Linked DNA regions of Canis lupus familiaris. The protein of the gene in region 1 interacts with the protein of each later gene in a pairwise test. Links are inferred from orthologs where the notes say so. Each region holds a gene or a part of one and is shown in the gene's direction. Other genes may lie near its edges. The genes, in order: TRIM69, NEK8, FAM110A, IYD, ASNS and FKBP1B.

Region 1 (3,973 bases):
TTTTTTAAACTTAGGAACATAGTTCCTAGCTGATTATCAAAATTTCATAGCCATTTGTTTGATAAGGAGTTTTATCCAACAAATGACATGTACTGTTAAGGTGAGCAAGTTACAGCACTACTCAGTAGCTGTTCACAATTTAGTGAAGGGATAGACATGAAATCTAACAAAATAATTATGTACAGGTATGCAGAAAAATCTAGGGTGCTACAGAAATGTATAAAGCACTGATTCTCAACTGGGAATGAGTCCTACTCCCATACACCTAGCAGATATTTGGCAATGTCTGGAGACATTTGACTATCATAACAAGAGGGGGCGGTGTGCTACTAGCATCTAGTGAGCAGAAGCCAGAGACATGGCTAAACATCCTAAAATTCACAGGACAGTCCCCACAACAAAAACTAGCTAGCTCAAAATGTCAACAGGGCTGAAGTTGAGAAACTCTGATATAGAGCCAGCAAAATATTTTCTACAAAGGATGGGGGAGGGGAGTAAAGCTTGGTGGGGCTGGTTATGGAAGAGTTTACTAAAGAAATAATGATTGGGGGAGGGGGACAACATGTGCAAAGCTACAGACCCTGACATATTTGGGCAATCCTAAACACCAGAGGAATAGTTGTGGGCATTAAGACTGGACAGTGAGGCATTTAGTAGGAGCTAGATATTCTATAAAATCTTTTGCATTAGAGGAATTACTGTAAGAAAATCTGGTTCCATGATGGCTGTTTATATGTGGGTCACTCAGCACAGTCTAAGGACAGATCTCTGTGAACTAAAACTGCTCAAAAAAGAAATGAAGCTTTCCTCATCTTGCTTCCTTAGGGCCTAGGGTTTTCCAGGCATTTGTTTCGTTCTCAGAAATAGAGTCAGGGCTATTCAAATGGAACATGAGATCTGAGAGGTGGAATAGCTCTCTATTAAAGCCATTGAGGTGGCATCTCAATGCTGGGATCATAAGCAGAGATAAGTGATTATTTCTCATGCATTAGGCTTACAGGCAGATGCTTATTTGCTCTTTCCTAGAGAATCTCAGTTCAGAATTGGGGATATATCAATCTCAGGATTAGACCCACCTTGAATCTAAATGAGTTGCCTTTCCCCTCCCCCACAAAAAAGGGTGGGTGGGTAGGCCATTCCAATTAGGGTTTCTCTTTCTCTTAAGCTAATGATGATCAAAACTGACAAACTGCCACGGAATCCTCCAGACCTCTCTCTGGCCTTGCCCTATCTCCTCAGCTCCTGAACTTTTCTTCCTTCCGTCATGGTCTTAGCCCATTCTTAGCAAACTACCAGGTCCCGGACTCCTGGTCTGCAGCTATCCTGAGCCTGTTGTGCTAGGATTCAAGTGCCTGCATCTGCTCCCTAGTGGCCTGATGACAGAGCTTAATGGAGGTGAGCGACCCTTCTCTAACTCACCTGATTTTCTAGGCATAGTGTGGGAAACTGGGTCGCAGAAGGGGATATGGATTTCAGAGCATGAAAGGAAATTTAGGGAAATATTTGTGGCAGCTTACAGCTGCTATACTTTCTTAGGGTATTGGAATAACTAAGGATTTATTTATTTATTTTAAAGATTTATTTATTTTAGTGGGGGGGGGCAAGGAGGGACAGAGGGAGTGAGAATTTCAAGCAGACTCCCTGCTGGGCACAGAGCTGGACATGGGGCTAGATCCCACAATGCTGAGATCACGACCTGAGTGGAAATCAAGAGCTGGCTGCTTAACTGAGTCACCTAGATGTCCCTGGAATAACTGAGAATTTAGATAAGAGAGTTTGGTAGGTAAGTAGTGATGCCCACCGTAAACTTTTGAGAAAAATCAAACTAAATGCTATATAAAAATGTACTTTCTTTATTAACTAATCACTTTAATTATTTTTTATATTCTAAAGATTGTTTTGTTGTTTCAGTATGCATGGATCTGTTTCATCCTTTTCACATTTTAATTCTAGTATAGTTAACATACAGTGTTATATTAGTTTAAGCGTATAATATGGTGATTCAACAATCCTATATGTTACTCAGTGCTCATCAAGATAAGTGAACTCTTAATCTACCTTCACCTATTTTTTTAAAGATTTTATTTATTTATTTATGAGGGACACACAGAGAGAGGCAGAGACACAGCAGCAGGAGAAGCAGGCTCCCTGCAGGGAGCTGGATGTGGGACTCAATCCCAGGACCCCAGGATCATGACCTGAGCCAAAGGCAGATGCTCAACCATTGAGCCACCCAGCTGCCCCCTCTTCACATATTTCACCCATCTTAATCACTTTATTTTAGGTTGAAAAAATTTATTATGTATAACTGTTTGCCAGTTATACCATAACATTTGATATTTTATATTTATAGTAGAGCTCATACTCACAGGAATTAAACATTTTTTGGTCTTCCAGTTACTTATTTTTATCTTTAGTTGCATCTTTCAAAATTGACTGAAGAACTAATCATTTTTTTTTCACTACAGTGAAGTCTGGGGTTATTTATACCTGTTAGAATTCTAAAAAGTTATACAAAGTTATAAATTCTAAAAAAGTTATAAATTCTTTTTTTTTTAAAGTTATAAATTCTAAAAAGTTAGAACTGGCATTAGCTAAGATATACTTTTTTTTTTTTTTTGAAGATTTTATTTATTTATTCGCGAGAGACACACAGAGAGAGACAGCAACATAGGCAGGGAGCCCGATGTGGGACTAGATCCTGAGACTCCAGGATCACGCCCTGGGCAGAAGGCAGGTGCTAAACCACCTGCCACCCAGGGATCCCGCTAAGATATACTTTTTAAAAAATTTTAATTCCAGTATAGTTAACATACAGTGTTATTATATTAGTTTCAGGTACACAATATAGTGATATGATAATTCTACACATTATTTAGTGCTCACCATAGTAAGTGTACAATCAATCCTCTTTGCCTATTGCACCCATCCACCCACCTACCACTCCTGCAGTAACCACCAATTCATTCTCTATAGTTGTTTATTTTGTCTTTTTTTTCTTCATTTGTTTTGTTTCTTAAATTCCACATATGAGTGAAATCATATGGTATTTTTCTTTCTGTCTTATTTTGCTTAGCATTATACTCTAGAGCCATCCATGTTGTTGCAAATGGCAAGATTTCATTCTTTTTTTTTTTAAGATTTTATTTATTTATTCATGAGAGACACACAGAGAGAGAGAGAGAGAGGCAGAGACACAGGCAGAGGGAGAAGCAGGCTCCATGTGGGGAGCACAACATGGGACTCGATCCCCGGTCCCCAGGACCACACCCTCGGGCTGCCTGATTTCATTCCTTTTTATGGCTGAGTAATATTCTGTTGTGTGTATATACCACCTCTTCCTTATCCATTCATCTATCGATGGATACTTGGGCTGTTTCCATAATTTGGCTATTGTAAATAATGCTGCAAAAAACATAGGGGTGGGGCAGCCCAGGTGGTTCAGCGGTTTAGCGCCACCTTTGGCCCAGGATGTGATCCTGGAGACCCGGGATTGAGTCCCATGTCAGGCTCCCTGCATGGAGCCTGCTTCTCCCTCTGCCTGTGTCTGCCTCTCTCTCTTTCTGTGTCTCTCATAAATAAATAAATAAATAAATAAATAAATAAATAAATAAATAAATAAATTCTTAAAAAAAAAAAAACACAGGGGTGCATGTATCCCTTCAAATTAGTGTTTTTGTATTCTTTGGGTAAATACCCAGTAATGAAATTACTGGATCATATGGTAGTTCTATGTTTAATTTTTTGAGGAACCTCCATAGTTTTCCACAGTGGCTCCACCAGTTTGCATTCCTATCAATAGTGCACAAGGGTTCCCTTTTCTCCACATCCTCAATAACACTTGTTGTTTCTTGCATTTTTGGTATTAGTCATTTTGACAGGTGTATGGTGGTACCTCATTGTGGCTTTAATTTACATTTCCCTGATGATGAGTGATGTTCAGCATCTTTTCCTATATCTGTCAGCCATCTGT
Region 2 (4,001 bases), on another chromosome or scaffold:
GAGGTTTGGGTGTTTGTTCTGCCTCCTTTGATGGCTCCAAGATTACATATTAACTAACCCCTGTGGGGCTCCTGGGTCAACCACGGCTCTACTGGTTTCTAGGTGAGAGCACGAGTTTCCCGGGTTGAGCGGCTTTCCTCCTCTGAGCTCTCTTTTGCTCACAGGGCAGCTTTGTTCATCAGCCAATAGCAGCCTGAGCCAGCGACCCAGGGCCCCTCGTGGGGCCCCTCTAGTGGTCTTTCCACGTGGGCAGGTTTGAGTACCCTTTTGAGGGGTTGGGCGGGACAGAACGTAAACACTGCTTTCCTCCCATTCCTCGCCCACTCAGAAATAGGGACGCTGTCCCTTAGCTAATCACCATCCTCTTACTCCTTAACCGAGCTTTTTATGGAGCTCGCAGAGCAGAAGGCCCAAGGAGACAACAGGAATTAAACTCACTTCCAGTCAAGACCCTAGATGATCATACTAACCAGCCCCCTACAGTTTAGGCAGGAGCCTTGAACCCACATGGGTCAAACAGCTCTCCTTCCTCCTCTCTCTGATGCTCTCCGATAGTGGTGTACTTCTCTCATCTTCTCTCCGCCTGGCAGATTCTCCCCACAGTTGAGCCTTGAAGGCGATGGCCTGCAGCCAAGTTGTGTGTTGGTGTGTGGGGGCAGGAGGAGTGATGAAAGTGCTGGCGAGCGCGGTGCTCACTAGCTGGGACAGCCTGGAGTTTCCACATCCCTAGGTGAATCAATTTGCACAGCTTGGGGTTTCCCAGGTCCCTACCTAGGCAAACACGAAACTAACCCGGCACCCTGCCCCACAGACCGAGAGTGCTGATGCTCTCTTGGTACAGTTTTGGTAGTTGATCATTTGAGTGCCAGTGAGAATCTGCTCTCCTTCCGAAATAGCATCACTAGTGGGCAAAGAGGTGGGCTGAGAGAGGTCAGTCGTCGCTTTCCAACCTCGCTGGTTGTGCAGGGCACCCCTCCGCTCAATGGATGCTTCGCGAGGGCCAGATGCACACCTGTTTTTAGGCAGTGGCTGGTCCTGTCCTAGGCGCCAAAAATGGCATAACACCCCACTGCTGGGACCCTGAAAAGGCAACTGTGGGCGGGGGCTGCAAGGACTGTGTAAACAGCACAAGACAGATGCAAAGCTGAACCCACATCAATCTCACTTGCTCCGCCCCGCAATTATCTTGCAGCGTAGGGGGCGTGGTCCTGAGTGGGCGGGTCCGCGCACGCGCCGCATCGGGGCGGGGGGGGTTCCGGAAATGTGACTCTGAGAAATAAGATGGAGAAGTACGAGCGGATCCGAGTGGTGGGGAGAGGTGCCTTCGGGTGAGCCAGGGATCTGGGGAAGGAAAATGGTCGGGGAGAGGGAAAGTAAGCCCCAGCTCTGACCGCGAATTCGCTGCCCGGTTAGCCCCGCCCCGAGGCGTGAGCGCCCCTTGGAAAGCCCTGCCCTCGCTTCCGGTCCCGGCCCGGGCTGGGAGGCTCCGCCTCTCGCGAGGTCACGCCCCGACGAGCCTCGGCGCCCCCGCAGAGTTCTGTTCTTCGATTCCTGACTAGTTCGTTCCACAGATAGTGAGCCCGGCGCTGTGGGCTCCGGACGCTCCCGGCGACGCGTATATAGTAAAGACCAAAATGAGAGTGTCTTTTCCCTCTCGGAGCTCACAGACTGTAGTAAAATGATACAATAGACAAGTAATTAAAAGTTATTAACAAGCTGCGAGCCTGGAATACGCCAGGGAGTATTTATTTGGGGTGGTCAAGGAAAATTTCCCTGAGAAGTGAAGTTTAAAGCCACGACTTGAGGAATGCAAACCAGCAATCCACAGGTGCAGGCAGAGCTTTTCAGGCAGAGGAAGCAGCATATCCTCACGTGGAAAGGAATTCAGAGTATTCAAGGAACTGAGAAAAAGACTGGTGAAGTTGGAATGTAGCGGGCAAGGTCAAGAATGGTATATAAAGGGGCGCCGGGGTGGCTCAGCTGGTTAAACGTCTGCCTTCGGCTCAGGTCATGATCCCTGAGTCCTGGGATGGAGCCCGCACGGGGCTCCCTGCTCAGTGAAGAGCCTGTCTCTCCCTCTGCTACTTCTCTGCGTGCGCTCTCGCTCCCTCTCTGCCAAATAAATAAATAAAACCTTGAGGGAAAAAAAGAATAGTATGTATAAAAAATAATGGTATAAAATGTGATTGTCACAGAGGACAGATTATGGCATTATAGGCTGAGGTAAAGAGATTGGATTTATTTGAAGTGTAAAGAGAAGAGGTTTCAGCAGAATGGTCTTCATATGATTTGCATTTTTTATTTTTATTTTTATTTTTTTTTAAACTGTTTTTTTTTTTTAATTTTTATTTATTTATTATAGTCACAGAGAGAGAGAGAGAGGCAGAGACACAGGCAGAGGGAGAAGCAGGCTCCATGCACCGGGAGCCCGACGTGGGATTCGATCCCGGGTCTCCAGGATCGCGCCCTGGGCCAAAGGCAGGCGCCAAACCGCTGCGCCACCCAGGGATCCCGATTTGCATTTTTTAAATGTCACCCTGGCTGCTGTGTGGAACTTAGAGTTGAGGATGCCGAAAGTAAAAGGCATCATTTTAAAGGCTAGTGCAGTATTTTAGGCAAGAAATAATGATTTGGACAAGGGTATAGCAGAAGTCAGAAATGGATGAGTTCATAATATTTTGCAGATAGAAACAGGATTTATTGATACGTTGCTGTGAAATGGAGGAAAGATTTTGGGATGATTTTCTGGTGTCTGACTTTAATGGTGGTGTCAGTTACTAAGATGGAAGAGACTAAGGAAGAAAAGAGTTTGGGAGGGGGCACCTTGGTGCTCAGTGGTTGAGCATCTGCCTTTCGCTCAGGTCGTGATCCCGGGGTCCTGGGATAGAGTCTTGCATCGTGGTCCCCGCAGGGAGCTTGCTTCTCCCTCTGCCCCTGTCTCTGCCTCTTTTTCTGTGTCTCTCATGAAAAAATAAATAAAATCTTAAAAAAAAAAAAAAAAAAAGAAAGAAAGGGCTTGGGGCAGAAATCAAAAGTTTTATTTTGAATTTGTTAAAATTTCGGATGTTTGCAAGCAGTTCAGGTAGAAATGCAAAGCAAGTAGTTGGATTTCTGAGTCTGGGTCTCAGAGGAGAGGTCTGAGTTGGAAATACAAATTTGATACTTAGTTGATCCTCTTACAGTCCATTCATTCAGCAGATACTCATTGAGCTCTTACTATGAGCTAAACACTGGGCTATGATCTGGGGATATAGTTAAAAAGGAGAACAAGAACCCTGCTTTTATGGACACTGACTAGAGTTGAAAGAAAATAATTGTATGAACGGCTTCCACTCACTGAGCATTTCTGATGTGCCAAGCACTGTGCTAAGTGCCTTACATGCATTTTCTTTTTCTTTTTTTGTTCTTACATGCATTTTCTCATTTGATCCTCTCAACAACCGAGGGAAATTGTTTTTATCTTGCAGATGTAAATGTCATATAGTCGAAAACTAAGTGAGTAGTAAGAGCAGGAGCCAGGATTTGAGCCTGGCAGTTAACTCCAAAGTCTATGGGAACTTATGAAGATCAAGACTAATGTCACACTGCCTGTGATGAAACTGAGTCTCAGATAAGTTAAATGACTTGCCTAAGGTCTCACACAGAGTTTATGGTCAGTTCTCCCGGTTCTTAAACTCAGTGTTCTATGCATTTAGTTATAGACCTGTTAATCTTGGTGTCCATTCTCAGTCTTTTTTAAAGATTTTATTTATTTGGGACACCTGGGTGGCTCAGCGGTTGAGCATCTGCCTTTGGCCCGGGCAGGCCATGATCCCAGGATACTGGATCGAGTCCCACATTGGGCTCCTTGTGGGGAGCCTGCTTCTCCATCTGCCTAGGTCTCTGCCTATCTCTCTCTCTCTGTATCTCTCATGAATAAATAAATAAAATCTTAAAAAAAATATATTTTATTTATTTGAGGGAGCACAAGTGGAGGGGAGGGGAAGAGGGAGAGAGAGAAG
Region 3 (4,099 bases), on another chromosome or scaffold:
GCTAGTGATAGCTGGTGATTAGTCCCCCTCCCCCACTGGCCCAAAATATGTATATAGTAAGTGCTCAGTCAATGACAATCCAAAGAATGAAAGTCTCCATCTGGATTAGAAAACAGGTTGGCTTCAGATTCAACAATGCCCTAGACCCAAACAGTGACTCACAGCTGTGAAATTTCCTCATCTCAAAGGGTGCTTAGAGTTCATTTATTCGAATCCTTTTTAAAAACCTGTGGTTTTTTCCATTGACATATTTAAGTGTTGGAAAGTGGAAAATCCACAAAAGCACAACAAAGAAATGAACTGCTATTATAAATGATTATACATGTGACATTGCAATTATGTACTTAATATGTAGTTATGTGTACATAGTGCTTTGAAACATACTTTTATTTTTATATTATAGTTGCACAGAGAGAGAGGCAGAGACACAGGCAGAGGGAGAAGCAGGCTCCATGCACCGGGAGCCTGATGTGGGATTCGATCCCGGGTCTCCAGGACCGCGCCCTGGGCCAAACGCAGGCGCTAAACCGCTGCGCCACCCAGGGATCCCTGAAACATACTTTTAAAAAGCTTTCTTTGCATTTTCCTCATACTTTAAATATCTTTAACTACATCATTTTTAATGACTGCATTACAGTCATCGGGACTGTGGGGATAATTAAGGGTACCTATCTCAAAGGGTTATGCCATGAGCACTGACCGGAGCTATGTCATGTGAAGAGACCCAGCATTTGTAAAAGGCTAGATAAACTTAGCTCTTCCGCAGGATGGCTTTATATAACCAATCCTTTTTTTTTTTTTTTTTTTTTTTTGCTGAGCATTGGAGTTATTTCCATTCTTTTGCTATGGCAAATAACGCTGGGCTATATTAATCTTTGCTCATATCTTTGGTCATTTCCTTAGTAAAGTTCAGGACTGCTGGGTTTGCACATTTCACAATTTCCCACTGAGCACGTAGGGGAACAGAGAGAGAAAGGGGCTGGCCCGGGCTCACACAGCGAGCTGCAAAGGCGGACCTGGAGACTAGCTGGGGAGCCCAAAGGGCGCCTCATCGTGTTGGGGACCGGGAGGAAGGCCTGGCCAAGGGAGAGAACCAGGCTCCAGAGCGGCGGCGGCCGCGGGAGCAGCAGGCCGGCGGGGCAGAGCGGCGCTGGGCTGGGGGGCGAGGCTGGGCGCTCGCTCGCGGGGCCCAAGCTAAGCGGTCGCCTGGCAACCCAGGCGGCGCGGCGTTCGAACGGAAGCGAGGAGCCAATCAGGATGTCCGGGGCAAACCATTCGGGCGGCGGGGGGAGAGCGGCGAGCTCACTTCCCTTTCCTCTGCGCCCCGGGGACCTCCGGGCCGGCGGGGGCCTGGGGACAGCCTGGTGCCCCGGTCCGTCTCGGGTACGCGCAGCCGCTCGGAGGAGGCCCCTGCGGGCCCCCACGCCGGGTTGGGGCGCACCGAGCCGCCTTGGACGCGGCCATTCCCAGCCCGGGTCCGAGCTGTCAGCCTCTTCCAAGACCCGCACGGGCGGAGCCGGGACTCGCCGAGCTCGGGCTTCAGGTGAGGGGGCGGGTGGTCTGGGTCGGAGGGGGTCCGGTCGCCGAGCGCCTGCTGTATACGTCCTCCCGGCGTCGTACGTGCGGGAGGAGGTGGTACCCCATTTCACCGAGGAGAACGCTGAGGCGCCCGGAGGCAAGTGTCCCATCCCTGGCTGAGAATCCAGTTCACATCTTTCAGCTCCACCTCGAAATCTCCAGTCTGGGTAGACCCAGATTTGCCTGGAGAGGTCCAGACGCTCAACTGGTGGTCAGCTCCTCAGCCTGCAAGGCTGCTATGCCCTGGAGCCCAGGCTGGATCACCTACCTCCTGCGCCGCTCCTGCATTGCCCCCTGGGTGCCCCCTCTGGGCATCTGTCTTCCCTTCTCTAGGACGCCAGAGGTTGGATTCAGGGCTCGTTTGGGGTCCTTCTGCCCACAGGGTACTGAATCGCAGTGCCATCTCAAAGGGCTGTTTTGGGGGATCCGACTGGACCGACGTGTCTTGGTTAGGTGCTAGGTGGGCAGCAGGTGCTTTGGCCCTGGAACCACTGTTAGATTCTTGAGAATCTGCTCCAGGCTGGGGGAAATGGGTAAAGGCAGCCACTGAACGTTAAGCCACTAGTCAGCAGAGACTTTGGAGTTCAGGATGGGGCTGCTGACACCTCTGGCTGGAGCAGCATACGTAGACCAGGCCCTGACTCCTGGGGATGCTCTGGGAACTCAGAAAGAAAATAAGTCTTTCATTTATTCTTTCAACAAATATTTATTGACTTTGTATGCCATGCCCTGCCCTCCCCTTTGTCTATTTTGTTTCTCTCAGTGGCATTTGCCCATCTAATGTCCTCTGTATTTCACTTATTAGGGAGTTGATATCTTCTTCCACTGGAATGTGATAGGAGGAGGGGCTAAGGTGGCCTCCCGGGCAAAATTGAGGGGTGCCAAAACCTCTAATCAAGATAACTAAAGCTAACAGTTATTATTTTCTTAAAGATTTATTTATTTTAGAGAGAGAGAGATGGAGTGTGGGAGTGGGTTGGGGGATTGAGGGTGAGGGGGCAGAGGCAGAGGGGGAGGAGAAACAGATCCTCCTTTTGCAGGGGAGTTCAAGGGGGGAGGAGGGGAAGCTGGATCCTAGGACCCTGAGATCATGACCTGAATGGAAACCAAGACTTGGAAGCTCAACCGACTGAGCCACCCAGGTGCCCTAAAGCTAACTGTTACTATTTGCTGCGTGTTCTGCTGGTAGAGATCAACTCACATGGCCTCTATGGAACACAGTACACCGTCTCTGTCACGATTACAAGCACGTCCTCAGCCCAGCTGTCTCACTTCTAGGCAACGCAATGTAGGTGCAGTGACGCCGCAGGCTGGTTTGTAATAGGGCAGGTCTGGACACACACTAAATGGTCATCAGCAGGGGCTGACGAGCTCTTTATGTTACTGATGTGCCACCACACATATTTTTGGACAACATATATTATTAAGTATATTAATACATATATTAGAATTAATACTATATTAACATTATTAAAACAACATGTATTATTGAGTAAAAAGAGCAAGGTGAATACAGTACACACAGCATGTTGCCATATGTGTACAAAAATAGAAAGAATTTATACTCATTATTGCTTGATCTGCCTAAAATCTCCCTGGAAGGACACACAGTTGTCTGGTTACAGTGGCACCTGCAGGGAGGGGAACTGGGTGGCTGGGGACAGGGGTGGGAAAGAGTTTGTTTTTTACTTCATTCTCTTCATAGTTTTTGAATTTTGAGTCATGGGCATATATCATCTGGTTGCATTATATACATATGAATCATTATAGATGATATATTTGATCATAAGACCAGTGCCCCATCTGTGATCTGTCATTGACTTGCTGTGTGACTTTGGGAAAGTTTCTTCACCTCTCTGGGCCAAGATAAGAAGCCATGATGGCAAACTCAGGTCTGGGAAGAAGGCAGTCCAGGACAGGAAGTGGGCTTGCCCCGGAGTCTACCCCAACCTCCACCTTCACTATCCTTGTGAGCCAGGACCTTCCCTGAGGCTTTGCATGCAGTCTCTGTCTCCACTGCAAGCCCGTTTGTCCTCATTTTGCAACTTCAGGTACACACTGAGGCACAGATAATTGAGCTGGTGGAGCTGAGCTGTCCGCTGGCCGATAGAAGATCAGTGCTTCAGGCGTCTGTGCCCACAGCCCTCCTTCAGTCCGCTCACCTCTCTCTTTCTGAGATGTGTGCAAGTGTGCCCTGGGCAAGGCCCACTGCAAGCAGGTCAGGGCATGAGTGTCTGGGGAGACTCCAGAAATAGCACGGAGCCTGGCGTGGCCCTGGAGGATGCCCAGCTGGGTGTCTCTGACCCGGACAGCTGGGCTGAAATCGAGCTGGCCTGCCCTATTGGCTGGCCCCCTCCCTGCTGCCTGGAGCCTTCCTGATCCTCCTCTGGGGCAGGTGAGGGCCTCCCTGTCTCCACCCAAGTCAGGGCCTGGCTTCTGCCGAATGGAAAGAGCGAAGCAGGTGGAAGGAAGGGGTGGGGTGGGGGGTGCAGAATGTCATGAAAACTATAAACGTCGAAGC
Region 4 (4,204 bases), on another chromosome or scaffold:
AACATGTATCAAAAGAATAGTTGTCTATTACAAAAAAAAAAAAAAAAGTTAAAATGTATAATAAAATAAAACAAAATAAAAAAGGACTATTTAAATAATTTTAATTTTTGGATAGGTAATATAATGATAACAGTTAAAAAATTTAAACGTTATAGAATAGTATACAGTAACAATTCTCTCTCCCACCCTTGTCCCCCACTTTATCCAATACCACTGTCCATCCAAAAGAAGTAGCCACTGTTGTTCCTAAACTTTTTTTAAAAGTAAATATAGACTCAGAAGAAGTTGCCAAACTAGTACAGAGAAGTCCCGATATAATCACTGTTTTAAATTTATGGAATAATCCTTCATGAAATGTTATGAATATATAAGCACATATAAATATGTGGTATTTTCTGCTGTTTTCATTCCAGTGGTATCGTATTATACATAGTAGGGTATCTTGCTACTATAGACTGGATGCTTCTGTCCCCCTGTCCCCAAAATCAGATGTTGAAACTCTAACTCCCCCACCCCATGTGATGGTACGGGGAGGCAGGGTCTTTGGGAGTGACTTAGGTTTCTGTGGGGTCATGAGGGTGGAGCCCTCATTAGCAACAGTGGCAAAAAAGACATGAGAGAGATGGTCTACCTTTTCCCTCATGTAAGGTCACAGGAGGAAAGCATCCACCTTCAAGTCAGGAGAATACCTTCACCAGGAACCAGATTGGGTCCCACTTGATCTTGGACTTCCCAGCTTCAAAAATGGTGAGAAAAAATTTTCTGTTTAAGCCACTTTGCCTATGGTATTTTTGTTACACAGACCCAAATCAACATTTGCTAAACAAATGCTGACAGTTGCTTAAAAACAAAAACAAACAAACAAACCCTACCTAAGTCATATAATGAACCAAACCATCATTTTTAATGATTGTGGATCACTTTTCCTGGATCAAAAAGCATTTCTCTAAGGCAAAACACAAAAATGTCTTTGCTCTATCTGTTGTCTCAGGCTTCATTTAAAAAAAAAAATTCAAAACCTTTTGAATTTGTTTTACAAATATGCTGTTTTTAAAATGCAGATCACCAGTCCTTTTTCCTGGACATTTTCTTTCACTAGGTCTGAGTTGGTGCCTAAAAATCTCTTTTAAAAACAAGTTCCCCAGGTGATTCCTAGCTTCAGGCAAGTTGAAGGCACCTTGCTCTGGGAGAAAAACGGGAAGATCAAACCCCTTCAACCACTGTTAGTAAGGTCTGGTGCCTTAAAGTGTTTACTCAGATCCTGGCAGTTATTGTCTAAGAATATACTGATTGAGCGCAATTTTAAAAAATGAATGTACTTGTGCATTACCAACCCCCCAACACACCCTGAATGCACATGCCATGATCTTTGCTCCTTTGCAAAGTCCTGAGTCAGAGAGTTCACCTCCCCCGGCAGCACACCTCTCTCTTCCTTCACCCCAGCCCCCACCGTTCCTCGTTCCTGGCTCTGTTTGTTTAAATTCCGTGTGGGAAGAGTGTGCACCGTTTAGAGTCGGTCTCAGACCATGTTTTTCCTGACTCCAGTCTTGGTAGCAGTCGTCTGCATTTTGATTGCATGGATCTTTAAAAATGCTGATGGAAGAAGCATGGAGGGGAGGAAGGGGGAGAACAGAGCCAGGGCCCAGACCCGTCCCTGGGTGGATGAGGACCTAAAGGACAGTACTGACCTCCAGCAAGTAGAAGAAGGTAAGGACACGGGCAAAGCTGCATAGCTGCCACCTTCTGCATTGTTTTGATGGGTGCCAGGGGGTGACAGGGCTTAGGGAGGGCAGGAAACACGTGCAGGTCTGTTTCAGCAGCCCCCTCTGCTGTGCGGATTAGCATGTGACAGAGACAGATCATTTCTCTCAGGTGGTCGGCTTGGCACCTGCTGGCACCACTCCGATTGATTTCTGGATAAAGAGTCAGTAAACAGCTGTGGCGAGATTGCCATTCTCCTTGACCCTGTTCTGGCTGTTAAATCTTTCCGAAGGGGCACATCACAGGCTCATGGTGGTCACGGGGGAGGTGGTGAGGTTGGATCAAGCACTTAGAAATGTAAAAGTTGGCATTGGTCTAGGGGCTCTCTACCCTTCCTGTGGGTGAGAGGCCCGTCAGCTGTGTCCTCAAAGCTGGGTGTCCAACTTAGAGGACAAGCCAATAAACAAGCAACATAATGAAGAGCCAAACTGATCATCAGGGGCTTCCAGGAGGCACAGGGGTGTGGTGGGGCAGCAGAGAAAGGACAAGTCAGGCCTGGCCGGTTAATAGGACTGGAATGGTCATGGTTAGGATGCATCTCAGCTAAAAGGAGCAGAAAGAGCATAAAAGCAGGGACAGAACTCCTGGGAAAGTTGCTGAGAAGATGGGATCTCACTGGTGGGGGAAGGGTGGATGTGAAATGGGATGGTGAGCATGGGCCCGGTCGTGGCTGACCCGAGGATGAAGAGGTGGTAAGGAGCAGGCAAGCAGGGAGAGGTTCTGGAGGAGGCTTGAGTGATCGGTGTTTGAGATTCATCTGAGGTGGGTTGGTGGGATGGATTCAATTTTAGAAGAGGCTCAGTGATTCTCAGCTGGACTAGTGATGCTCCTGCCCTCCGAAAAGACCACCTGGACATGCATGTAAGTGTGCTGATGTGCCTGTGTGCACGTATGTGTGTTCAGAGTTGCCCTAATCTCAGGATATGGGGCGGGGGTTCACCTGGCACTCCGTGCTGGGAGCCAGCAATGCTGAAGGTACTGCACAGGATTCAAGCAAGGCAGCTCTTAGCAGGCCTGCCTCTCCTTCTTTCACTGAAGGACATCCCACCCAAATGTCAGTTCTGCAAAGTGCCCAGTTGAGAAGCACTTTTCCTGAACAAAGGGACATCCATTATGAAGCAGTTGTGATGGTCTGCCCTGGTAAGGATGGCCCGGACGATGGTGGCAGTGGAAATGCAGGGGAAGGAGTGAGTCAGGGCAAAGTTAAAGGAAGAACAACAGGGTTTGGTAATAAACTGGATAGAGGGAGGAGGAGAGGATGAGAGCTGGAGGCTGGAGGAGGCACAACAACGCTATCATAAATGGGGGAGGGGAGAGGATTCATAGAAAAGAGGTTGAACATACACAAAGACGTGCTGGATTTGAGAAGATGACACATCTAAGCAGAGAGCGAAAGGTGGTCCAGGTGAGAGATCCATAGATACTGATTGGACAGTCATCAGCCCAGGGTGATACTTAAAACTTGGAAAACTGATGAATCCCCTAAGGGGATGTTGCTGAGGGGAATCTGGGGCACCTGCAGGTAAGATGGCCTGTGGTGTGAAAAAGGGACCACGGAGAAGACCATCTGGGGAAGGAGCTCCAGGATAATGACAACAGTAGGCTCCTATGGAACACTGGCTGTGTCTACTCAGCATCACACGTTATGTATAGTAAACCACTCAGTCTTTACGTCAATACAGCAAGGCAGCCACTATTATTTCCCCATATTACAGATAAGGAAATTGGGGCTAAACTATGCTAAGTTACCTGCTCAAGCAGATAGTGGTAGAGCCAGGACCCAGGCTGTCTGCTCTGTAGTCCAGGCACACAGCCAGTTGCTAGGTTGCCTTTCTAATAGGAGAATAAGCTAGAACAGAGTGGGCAGGAGACCACCAGCAGGCTCTCAAATTTCCTGAGAGATCTGAGGTAGTTTGGGGGATACAAGAGGGATTGGTGAGGTTGGTGGGGAACCAGGGACCTGGGGCTGGGCCTAAAGGTTGGGAACACATAACAAAGCTATATGGCTCCATCTGGTTCTGTCCTCTGCCTACTTATTCATTTTTGCAAAATCCTCTGCCTCTTATTCTCTAGTCCTCACACAGAAGAATAACTTGAACATTTAGTGGCCTCCTCAGCACCCATGGGCAACTCTGCTCTGAATGTAGAGTTCAGTTTCTCGCTGGAATTTTTGTTGTTCGCTTAAGTGGTACCTGCTGAGGTCTCATAGGTGATCGGTGAGAAGCAACATTTAAACCCAGGCTTCTCTGCCACCCAGTTCCCTGCTCCTGACCCCTGGAAGGGTGGACACAGTCTAAGAGAGGATTCACTGCTGGTACTGCAGGCTTATAGAGGACTGAGTGGGACATAAGAGAAATGATTCCATTACTGAAGAAACATGGAGTTGCTTTTGATGACAGCAAATGGATACCAGATTCAAACCATGCTGAAAATTAATTTTAAG
Region 5 (3,978 bases), on another chromosome or scaffold:
CTCCATCCTTTCCTGAAACTGACATTTGTCAATGACAAAATACGATGAAGAACTGAATCCAATTGAATACAGGTTTGAGAATCTACCTAGTGGTATCCACTGAGCTGCTAATGAGGCTCAAAAGGTCAAGTCAACACAACCAGGAAAGTGACAATCTAATTGAAGGCGAATATAACGGCATCACAAGTTTGATGATGATCCAACACAAAATAAAAATTCACTGATCTGATATCCAGAAGGGGGAGAAATTTAATTACGTCTGAGATAGAAGATAGTGAAATCTACCTCATAGTTAATAGAAAGATGATATCCTTCCAGCTCTTCCCATCTGCCCCATTATATATTAATAGGACAGATCTTTCTGTATGTATACATACACGTCTATGTATCGGATGCTCTCTTAGGAGTCAAGGGGAAACTGAAGTACAGGTTTCCCTGCTATCTCAAAGTAGAGTGTTCCTATGAAACATTTTGTAGGCCGAAATGACATAAAATGAAGAAGCAGTTACCATTCATTACTTTACATGGAAAATGGGTTTTCTTAGATCCTCAAAATAACCTCTCTTAGGCCTTTCTGACACCTTAGGACACATCCTGCTAACGAATGCACGATATAAATGGAGATAAAGCACAGATGCTCTAAGACATTGTTCAAAGCTAGGGCACCTTGATGCTGAGTGCAGATCTGGGGAGGGAACTTGGCAGTGCCATTCTTGCTGCTCCATCCATGCTGGCTGCCAAATAAAAACTGAACGCTATTTTCATTTTTCGCCTTTCCCCCCTAAAAGCAAAAATCCTCTTCTGATTTCTTTCAGGTAGCAAAAACAGGTACCCATGCGGGCCTTTTTGTTAGAGCGCAGTGGATACCTGTGCACCTAAAACCTTTGCAATTAAGGACATGAGGGAGATCTGATGCGAAGGGGACACTGATCAATTTGGCGATGATTTCCCAAAGAACAAGCCAAGGGCAGAAGACCTCCTCATGGCCAGAAGAGCAGGTGAGGTCACCCTAGGTGTCAGCGGGGCACCCGGCTAGACCTCTGAGGCTCTCCCCTCCAGCAGGTGCGCTAACACTTTAAGGAGCTGGAACGGAGCAGTCGGTCCTTGCTCCCCGCTCCTGCTCCGCCCCGCCAAGGTCTCGCATCGTGGGCCACGCCCCTGCGCGCTGGTTGGCGCCCACAGACATGATGAAACTTCCCGCAAGCATTACAGGAGCGAGGCCGGGAGAAAGCCGAGCAGGCCCGCCGCCCCGCCCGCAACCTGCAGCCCCTACCCGGCGCCTCCCGCCGACGCCTCCGCCGGAGCCCAGGTAAGCCAGGCCCGGCCGCCCAGCGCAGCGCCCTCCCGGCGTGGCCCGGGCCGGCCCGGGGAGGGGGCGGGAGGCCGAGGAGGCGGCCGGGGCGCTGCTGCCGACCTGCGCGCCCCGGGCCCCAGGCGGCCGCCGCCTGCCCGCGCTGCGGCTCCTGCGGCTCCTGCGGCTCCTGCGGCTCGAGGGGCGGGGCCGATTGTGGCGCACCTGGGAGCCCGCGGGGGAGCGAACACCTCGCTCCCGGCCCCGCGAGGAGGGGGCCCGGGGAAAGGCAGAGGGGAGGCCGGGCTGCGGCCCACCCGGGCCCCGGTACATCTCACAGCTTGTAATCCTATTGCACCGAAGCCTGTGGAGATGTTCGCAGTCCGGGGAAGCGGCCGGCGGCTGCACGTGGCTGCGGGGCAGTCGGAGTTTCGGGCGGCGCAGCAGCTGGTCGGATCCCCGGGCCGTCTGTCCAAGCCTAAGGGTCTGTACGTGCCCCTCACCTCCGGCTCGCCCCACCCGTTTCCTCCCCTCCCTCTCCCCACCCTCCCCACCCTCCCCGCCAGACTGCAGGACTCCACAAGTGACTTGAGCAAACCTCACCCAGAAGAGATCTGTCAGGGCGACAGGCGGAGTGGCGTGGAACAAAGCAAAAGAACTGACTTGCCTTTCTCATGGATATCTATTCCGTAGGGCTAGTTTCAGATTAATGTTACTCTTTTGAATAAAAGGACCGTTTTCTTCTGGGCCCTTGGCCTACATTATTTCTTCATAGGCCATTGCCCTGGGTGCCTTGCCTAACCATTTAAAAGCACTCATGACCCTTTTCTCATTGATCAAATTGCTGTAAGATTAAAAAATAATAATAATAACTTAAGTCTTGAGCCTGTCCAGGAGTCGGTTGCTGATATCTTAATGCAAAAATAAAACAATATGGTGAGGTAGTTGGTAAGCAGCCTCGAAATCAAATGCACCGAAGCAGCACTGTCCAATTCAGCCCACATGTAACTACTGAGAACTTGAAATGCTGACTCGTTCAAATTGAGGTGTGGTGTAAGTGTAAGACACACCAGATGTTGACGATTTAATAGAGAAAGGCAATGTATCTTGATAATTTTTTATACTGATTACCTACTGAAATACTATTTTTGGTATATTATGTTAAAACATATTTCAAGTTATCGTCCCTGTTTCTATTTACTTTTTTTAATGGGGCTACTAGTGTTTTTAAAATACCATATGTAGCTCACGTTTCTACTGGACAGCACTGTTCTAGAAGTTTATGAGGAAATACAGAGAATTCCTGGGAACAGGTAATAGCAGAAGGAAAAAGCACGCAAGTAGGACCTTTGCAAGTAAGAGTCCAATAAAAATAGGTAATAGTTTTAATGTGCTTTTTCCTGCTGCAGAAGGAAGTGTGCTTCCTAATTAATGTGTGTTCCCCTTCTTGCTCCTCTAGTGCTTAATGTGTGTTCCTTATAGTAGACTTAATAGTGGGATTCACTAAGCTGCATTAGGAAGACGGGTAAATGATTCAGTAATGACCTCTTGTGATTTTCTTTTCTTTTTTTTTTTTTCTTAGATTTTTTTTTATTTATTCATGAGAGACACAGAGGCAGAGACACAGGCAGAGGAAGAAGCAAGCTCCCTACAAGGAGCCTGATGTGGGACTTGATCCCTAATCCCAGGATCACACCCTGAGCTGAAGGCAGACGCTCAACCACTGAGCCACTCAGGCGTCCCCCTCTTGTGATTTTCAAAGCACTGTCTCAGTCCATTTTTAACTGGTATAGAGTGAAACCTGGCTTATCAGTAGTCATATCATTTCAATCTAAGTAAATTTCCCCTAATCTCAAAAATCCCATTAGAAGCTATTTGGCCAGGGGATCCCTGGGTGGCTCAGCGGTTTGGCGCCTGCCTTTGGCCCAGGGCGTGATCCTGAGTCCCACGTCAGGCTCCTGGCATGGAGCCTGCTTCTCCCTCTGCCTGTGTCTCTGCCTCTCTCTCTCTCTATGTCTATCATGAATAAATAAATAAATAAATCTTAAAAAAAAAAAGAAGAAGCTATTTGGCCAAGTGCATGGAAGGGACTACATAGGACACGTGCCACTTCATGTTGTTTGAGTCCCTACTTTTCATCAGTTTGATATGGTCTTGTTAAAAGGCTAAACAAGCTTTGGTTCACTTAGATACAAACACCCTCAGAGGATTGTCCAAACTGACTGGTGTAACTTAAATGTATAAATTTTCTTGATAATTTTGTCTCAAATTAGGCATTGGCTGCAATTTTGAATTAAAAATTCCCAAATAAAAAAAAAGAAAAGAAAAAGAAAAAAAAATTCCCAAATAGTTTCTAAGTTCGAGATATTTTGGTAAAATACCTGGCTGACAGCATCCAGATAAAACAACCCTTTATTTCACAGTTGAGAATATGAAATTGCAAGGTAACATTTGTAGGAATTGTTTGCTTTTTAGCCTATAGGGATGGCCAAGTTGTTTTTCAGAGATGATGTTGCTGTTTATGTGCCACTTACTTTGCTTTCTTATGAACCAAGGCAACCTTGAGATAAAAATATTCTCCAATATTTTTGTCTTTTGGAACATTTTGATGATGAACATTATGCAGCTCTATCAACCTAAATTTTTTTTTTTCTTATACAGCCAGGATATCTGATCCTAGATAACAT
Region 6 (4,095 bases), on another chromosome or scaffold:
AACTGAAGCTGCTCCATGGACCTATCCGAGTTACAAACCCCTGTCCTACACTTTCCCCAAGAGTGCCTCCCCATGGACCATAGTCCAAGGAAGGACCCGGTGCATCACTAGATTTTAGACTAGCTGCATACCTGGGAGACTCTGGGCCACGCCGTGAAGCAGTCCATGGGGAATTTCGGATGCTGACCCTCATAGTACAGTTGGCCATCATCTTTCTTGAACAAAACAGCCAGTGCTCCTTCAGTGATGCTGATATCCTCAAGTCTGACCTAACCATCTGGGAGCCTTGGGGGTGGGGGTGGAAGAAGAACATTTCTAGGGTCCACTCTGGGTGCCTTTGCTCAGGCTTTTCTCCTCGTGCCTATATTCCAGTGCCACTGGTCAGAACCATGCTTTCACGTCGATTTTTAGAACAATGCAGGGAAAGATGAGAGAAAAAGAGAGGGGAAAAAATAAAGTTCCATTCATTCTTCAAGCAAATGTCATCTCCTCCAAAGATGTTTTTCTAGATTCCTGGAACTCTTTTGGGTGGAGGTGAAGGGTCTAGCGTGGAAGAGGAGCTCAAGGTATAATTTATTCATTCATCCCACAGCACGAATCACTCCACGCTGTAACTAACTCTCCCCGTCCCCGCCCGTCACAAAATTTCATTCTTTGACGACAGCGATTCTGCTTTAATTAAATTGGTATCCTCAGGGCTCTGTTCTTTGCCTTGAAGGTGGGCATCTACCTGTGAGTGCTGGAGAACTACGCGGGACGGCGACCAGGGGTTTAGGGAGATCGCAGTGGGGTAATGGCCGGTGCCCTCCCCCCCGCCCCCTCCCCCCGCCCGCGCGCACCCCCAGGCTGCTCCTACAGTCCGGCAGCCGAGCCAGGGCGAGTACCCTAACGGGTGCTGCCCTAACGTTCTGGACTCCAGGGCAGTGAGCGCATCTATTTAAAGTGTTGGTTTAGTTGCTGGCTTTCGCCTAGTCGGTGGGACCGGGTTGACTCCCCAGAGCTTAGCACAGAGTAGATGCTAGATAAATCTGTGATGAGCGGATGCATAGAGGGGTGGCTGCACCGGCGGGTGCGTAGATGCGCGGGGGTCTCTGCCTCCCCCTCCGTCCCCCCCCACCCCCGTGAACGACGGTCGGCCCGGCCAGGCCCGGGAGCCGCGGCGCCGGGGTCCCTTCCCCGGGCCCCGCCCCAGCCGACCCCACCTTTCCGCGCCGCCCCGCTCCGCCCCGCCGCCCCCTTCCCCGTGGCCCCTCCCCGCGCAGGTCCCGACTCCCGCCGCACCTCCTCCGGCTCTGCAGTGGCGGCGGGGAGGCGAGCCGGAGCGCCAGCGGGGCCGGGGCCGGGGCCGGAGCCGGAGCCGCAGCCGAGCCGGGGTCGGGGCAGCAGCCGGGACCCTCAGAGGCGGGGCCAGTGGGACTGCGATGGGCGTGGAGATCGAGACCATCTCCCCGGGAGACGGTACCGGGCGGCGGAGCCGGGGGAGGAGGAAGGGTCCCGGGGCGGAGCCGGGCGGGCGGGGGTCTGGGTCGGAGGTGGCGCGGAGGGTGAGGACGCGGGGGCGGGCGCAGGGTGGGGCGGCGGGGGAGACCCCAGACTGCACTGTCGGAGCTCTGGCCGACGACCCTCCGCCCCCCTCCCCGCGCCGGCTCACCTAGGGCGTCGGAGGCGGCGGCCGCAGGCGGGGGTCTGGGCCCGCCACCGCCCCGGGGGCCTCGGGCGCCGCCGCCGCCGCGGGAGCCCCTCAGTTGTCTGCCGCTGCTAATTTCCCAGGGCAGGGGTTTGGCTCTGCTCTCCCTGCCCTGCTAGGTGAGCTCCGGGGACCGCTGGAAGGGTTCCCTTCTTGGGGCAACCCGTTTCCAACGCGCCCCCCTGAGGGCCTCGGCTCCCGCGGCCCCCGTGGGCTGGGCGGGGAGACGTTGTGGGGGGACCGAGCCCGTCTGCGAGGAAGAAGCGCTCCCTCCGCCGCCTCTGCATCCTGCTTTATCCTCCCCGCCCCACTCCGCCTCTCCAGCCATCCTGTACACTCCCATGGCTTTCATTACCGTCTGCAAACCGATGGCCTCCAAACTTAAGCCTCCAGCCCAGATCTCCGACCCATTTATCCAGCTGCTGCTCGACCTCTACCTGGATGTCCCATGGAAACCTAATTCAGCGAGTCCAAAACAACTCGAGCTCCTTGTCCTCCCCACGCCCAAGCACTCCTCTGTATTTCCCTTTTCCCTGCCCCCCCCCCCCCCCCCCCCCCCCCCCCGTCAGGAGCGGCACCACTCACTTTCCCCAGCCAGACATCTCTTGTATAATTGGGTCTGGATGTGCAAGGAATAGCTTATTTTAAAAAATTTTAAATGACACTTAATCCAGTCCAGAGCCCCCGTTTCTGCAGAATTTGACAGACAAACTTCATGTGAGACATGTCTGACAACCCCCACCCTCTCTAGGAAATTGGAAGACCTCTTGGTTCTAGGCCACCCTCCTTGTTAAAAGGCAGTGGTCCCTAGAGGTCCCAGTCCCGATCCCTGTCACCCTGCAGGTACAGGCTTCTTTGCCCCCACTGAGAACAATAGTGCTGGGTCCCAGGAAGCATCTCTCTGAGACCTTGTCACACCCCAGGGAAATTGCCATTGAGATCTCCCAGGGAGCTGGAGGCCTCTTCTCTTTTCCCCTGACTCAAAGTAGCCTTTAGAGTTTTCTCTGCTTATCCTCCCTTTCTGGCCAAGGACAAGGGCCATTTTCTTTTGAGGGAGATTAGATTTTTCGAGAAAGCCTGAAAAAACTTTGGCCTTCTGCTTTAACAGTCTAAACCCTTGAGTCAAGAAGGCATAGAAGGGCCAAGCTACTGTATTGTTAGGCTGGGGGCACCATTCTAAGTGAAGCCCCGCAGCAAGTCTGGTAGGACTTGGTCCTTCTGCTGAAATTCTCTAGGCTACATCCGTTTAGCCCCTGCCCTGGTTCAGATGATGGTCTCTCATCAGGCTTTCTGCACATCCTCTACATTGGTCTCCACACATCCAGTCTGACCTCTCTGCCTTCCATCTGGCCTCCCTAACTCACTACCTATTTTCCACACCATAGCCTGAGGAGTCTTTAAAATGCCTATTTTAGGTTCCCATTCCCTTCTGCTCCCCTCTTACCTTATCCCCGTGCCTTGTGCTTTAATGAATCTTCCATTTTCTTCTCAGACAGATAGTAATCTAGCCTGGTCTTACCTTCCACACTAGGGCAGTCTCTTACTACAGCCCCTACCCCCACTACCACCTTTTTCTGTAGCTTCAGCAAGCTTCCTGCAAAGTTGTTAAAACACATCAATCATTCCGCAAATATTTATTGAACATGTACTATGTGCTAGGCCCTGGGGTTAACAGCAGTGAGCCAGACAGGGATCCCACTAGTGCTAGACTCCAGGCCTTTGAATGTGTCATCAGTTCTTCCCAGATTATCTCCTTTAACTTCCTCTGGCAAACTAGTCATCTCTTAAGATCTGGTTTAACCTTATCTCCTCTCTGATGCTTTCCTGGACTCCCACAGAGTCCTCTACATGTTGGCTCACTTGTTTGCCTCCCAAAGATTTGTTATCCAGGCCTGTGGCTTTAAATTCCACCCAGATTTATACCTCCAGTGCAGACCCTCCATCTGCCTACTTGCAATATAAACTCAGATGTCTAATAGGCATTTCAAGACTGCCAACTGCTCAAATCTGCTCCTCCCCAGTCTTCCCCACCTGGAATTAGTTCGTTCCACCATACGTCCAATTGCCCAAACTGAAAACCCAAGCATTGTACTTGATTTCTCCTTGTCCCTCCTCCTGGACCCCATCTCCGTTCCATTAGTGTACTCTGTCAGCCCCGTTTCCCAAACGTATCTATTTTGCTCTCTTCTCTGCTGCCACCACGTTAATTCAAGCCATAATTGATTTCCTGTCTGGATTATTGCAACAGGCGCCTAATCGTCCATCCTACAGGCAGCAGCCAGAGTGATCTTATAAAATCTTAATTCAGATTATGTCATCCTTTTGCTTAAAACTCTCCAGTGCCTTCCTATTGCGCTTGGAGTTAAATCTAGCTCCACGATGTCCAATGTCTGGCATGATCTGCATGA

The links.
Region 2: the proteins of TRIM69 (region 1) and NEK8 interact in binary tests that used the Homo sapiens proteins (3 or more experiments, as listed by UniProt). The two-hybrid records come from large-scale screens. The link is inferred for Canis lupus familiaris from reciprocal best matches to the Homo sapiens genes TRIM69 and NEK8.
Region 3: the proteins of TRIM69 (region 1) and FAM110A interact in binary tests that used the Homo sapiens proteins (3 or more experiments, as listed by UniProt). The two-hybrid records come from large-scale screens. The link is inferred for Canis lupus familiaris from reciprocal best matches to the Homo sapiens genes TRIM69 and FAM110A.
Region 4: the proteins of TRIM69 (region 1) and IYD interact in binary tests that used the Homo sapiens proteins (3 or more experiments, as listed by UniProt). The two-hybrid records come from large-scale screens. The link is inferred for Canis lupus familiaris from reciprocal best matches to the Homo sapiens genes TRIM69 and IYD.
Region 5: the proteins of TRIM69 (region 1) and ASNS interact in binary tests that used the Homo sapiens proteins (3 or more experiments, as listed by UniProt). The two-hybrid records come from large-scale screens. The link is inferred for Canis lupus familiaris from reciprocal best matches to the Homo sapiens genes TRIM69 and ASNS.
Region 6: the proteins of TRIM69 (region 1) and FKBP1B interact in binary tests that used the Homo sapiens proteins (3 or more experiments, as listed by UniProt). The two-hybrid records come from large-scale screens. The link is inferred for Canis lupus familiaris from reciprocal best matches to the Homo sapiens genes TRIM69 and FKBP1B.

Annotation. Positions count from the first base shown.
Region 1 is NC_049251.1:11,648,055-11,652,027, forward strand, and holds the start of TRIM69 (E3 ubiquitin-protein ligase TRIM69), read left to right. Parts: upstream 1-1,173; 5' UTR 1,174-1,389; coding exon 1,390-1,395; intron 1,396-1,667; exon of another isoform or gene 1,668-1,783; intron 1,784-3,973.
Region 2 is NC_049230.1:42,893,858-42,897,858, forward strand, and holds the start of NEK8 (serine/threonine-protein kinase Nek8), read left to right. Parts: upstream 1-1,201; 5' UTR 1,202-1,281; coding exon 1,282-1,328; intron 1,329-3,467; exon of another isoform or gene 3,468-3,652; intron 3,653-4,001. UniProt on the Homo sapiens protein: Required for renal tubular integrity. May regulate local cytoskeletal structure in kidney tubule epithelial cells. May regulate ciliary biogenesis through targeting of proteins to the cilia.
Region 3 is NC_049245.1:20,607,904-20,612,002, reverse strand, and holds the start of FAM110A (protein FAM110A), read left to right. Parts: upstream 1-1,299; 5' UTR 1,300-1,543; intron 1,544-4,099.
Region 4 is NC_049222.1:41,294,055-41,298,258, forward strand, and holds the start of IYD (iodotyrosine deiodinase 1), read left to right. Parts: upstream 1-1,404; 5' UTR 1,405-1,526; coding exon 1,527-1,707; intron 1,708-4,204. UniProt on the Homo sapiens protein: Catalyzes the dehalogenation of halotyrosines such as 3-bromo-L-tyrosine, 3-chloro-L-tyrosine, 3-iodo-L-tyrosine and 3,5-diiodo-L-tyrosine.
Region 5 is NC_049235.1:22,693,092-22,697,069, reverse strand, and holds the start of ASNS (asparagine synthetase [glutamine-hydrolyzing]), read left to right. Parts: upstream 1-1,178; 5' UTR 1,179-1,309; intron 1,310-1,554; exon of another isoform or gene 1,555-1,779; intron 1,780-3,978.
Region 6 is NC_049238.1:18,594,660-18,598,754, forward strand, and holds the start of FKBP1B (peptidyl-prolyl cis-trans isomerase FKBP1B), read left to right. Parts: upstream 1-1,295; 5' UTR 1,296-1,421; coding exon 1,422-1,458; intron 1,459-4,095. Other genes in the region: WDCP (WD repeat and coiled-coil-containing protein), read right to left, coding at 132-313. UniProt on the Homo sapiens protein: Has the potential to contribute to the immunosuppressive and toxic effects of FK506 and rapamycin. PPIases accelerate the folding of proteins. It catalyzes the cis-trans isomerization of proline imidic peptide bonds in oligopeptides.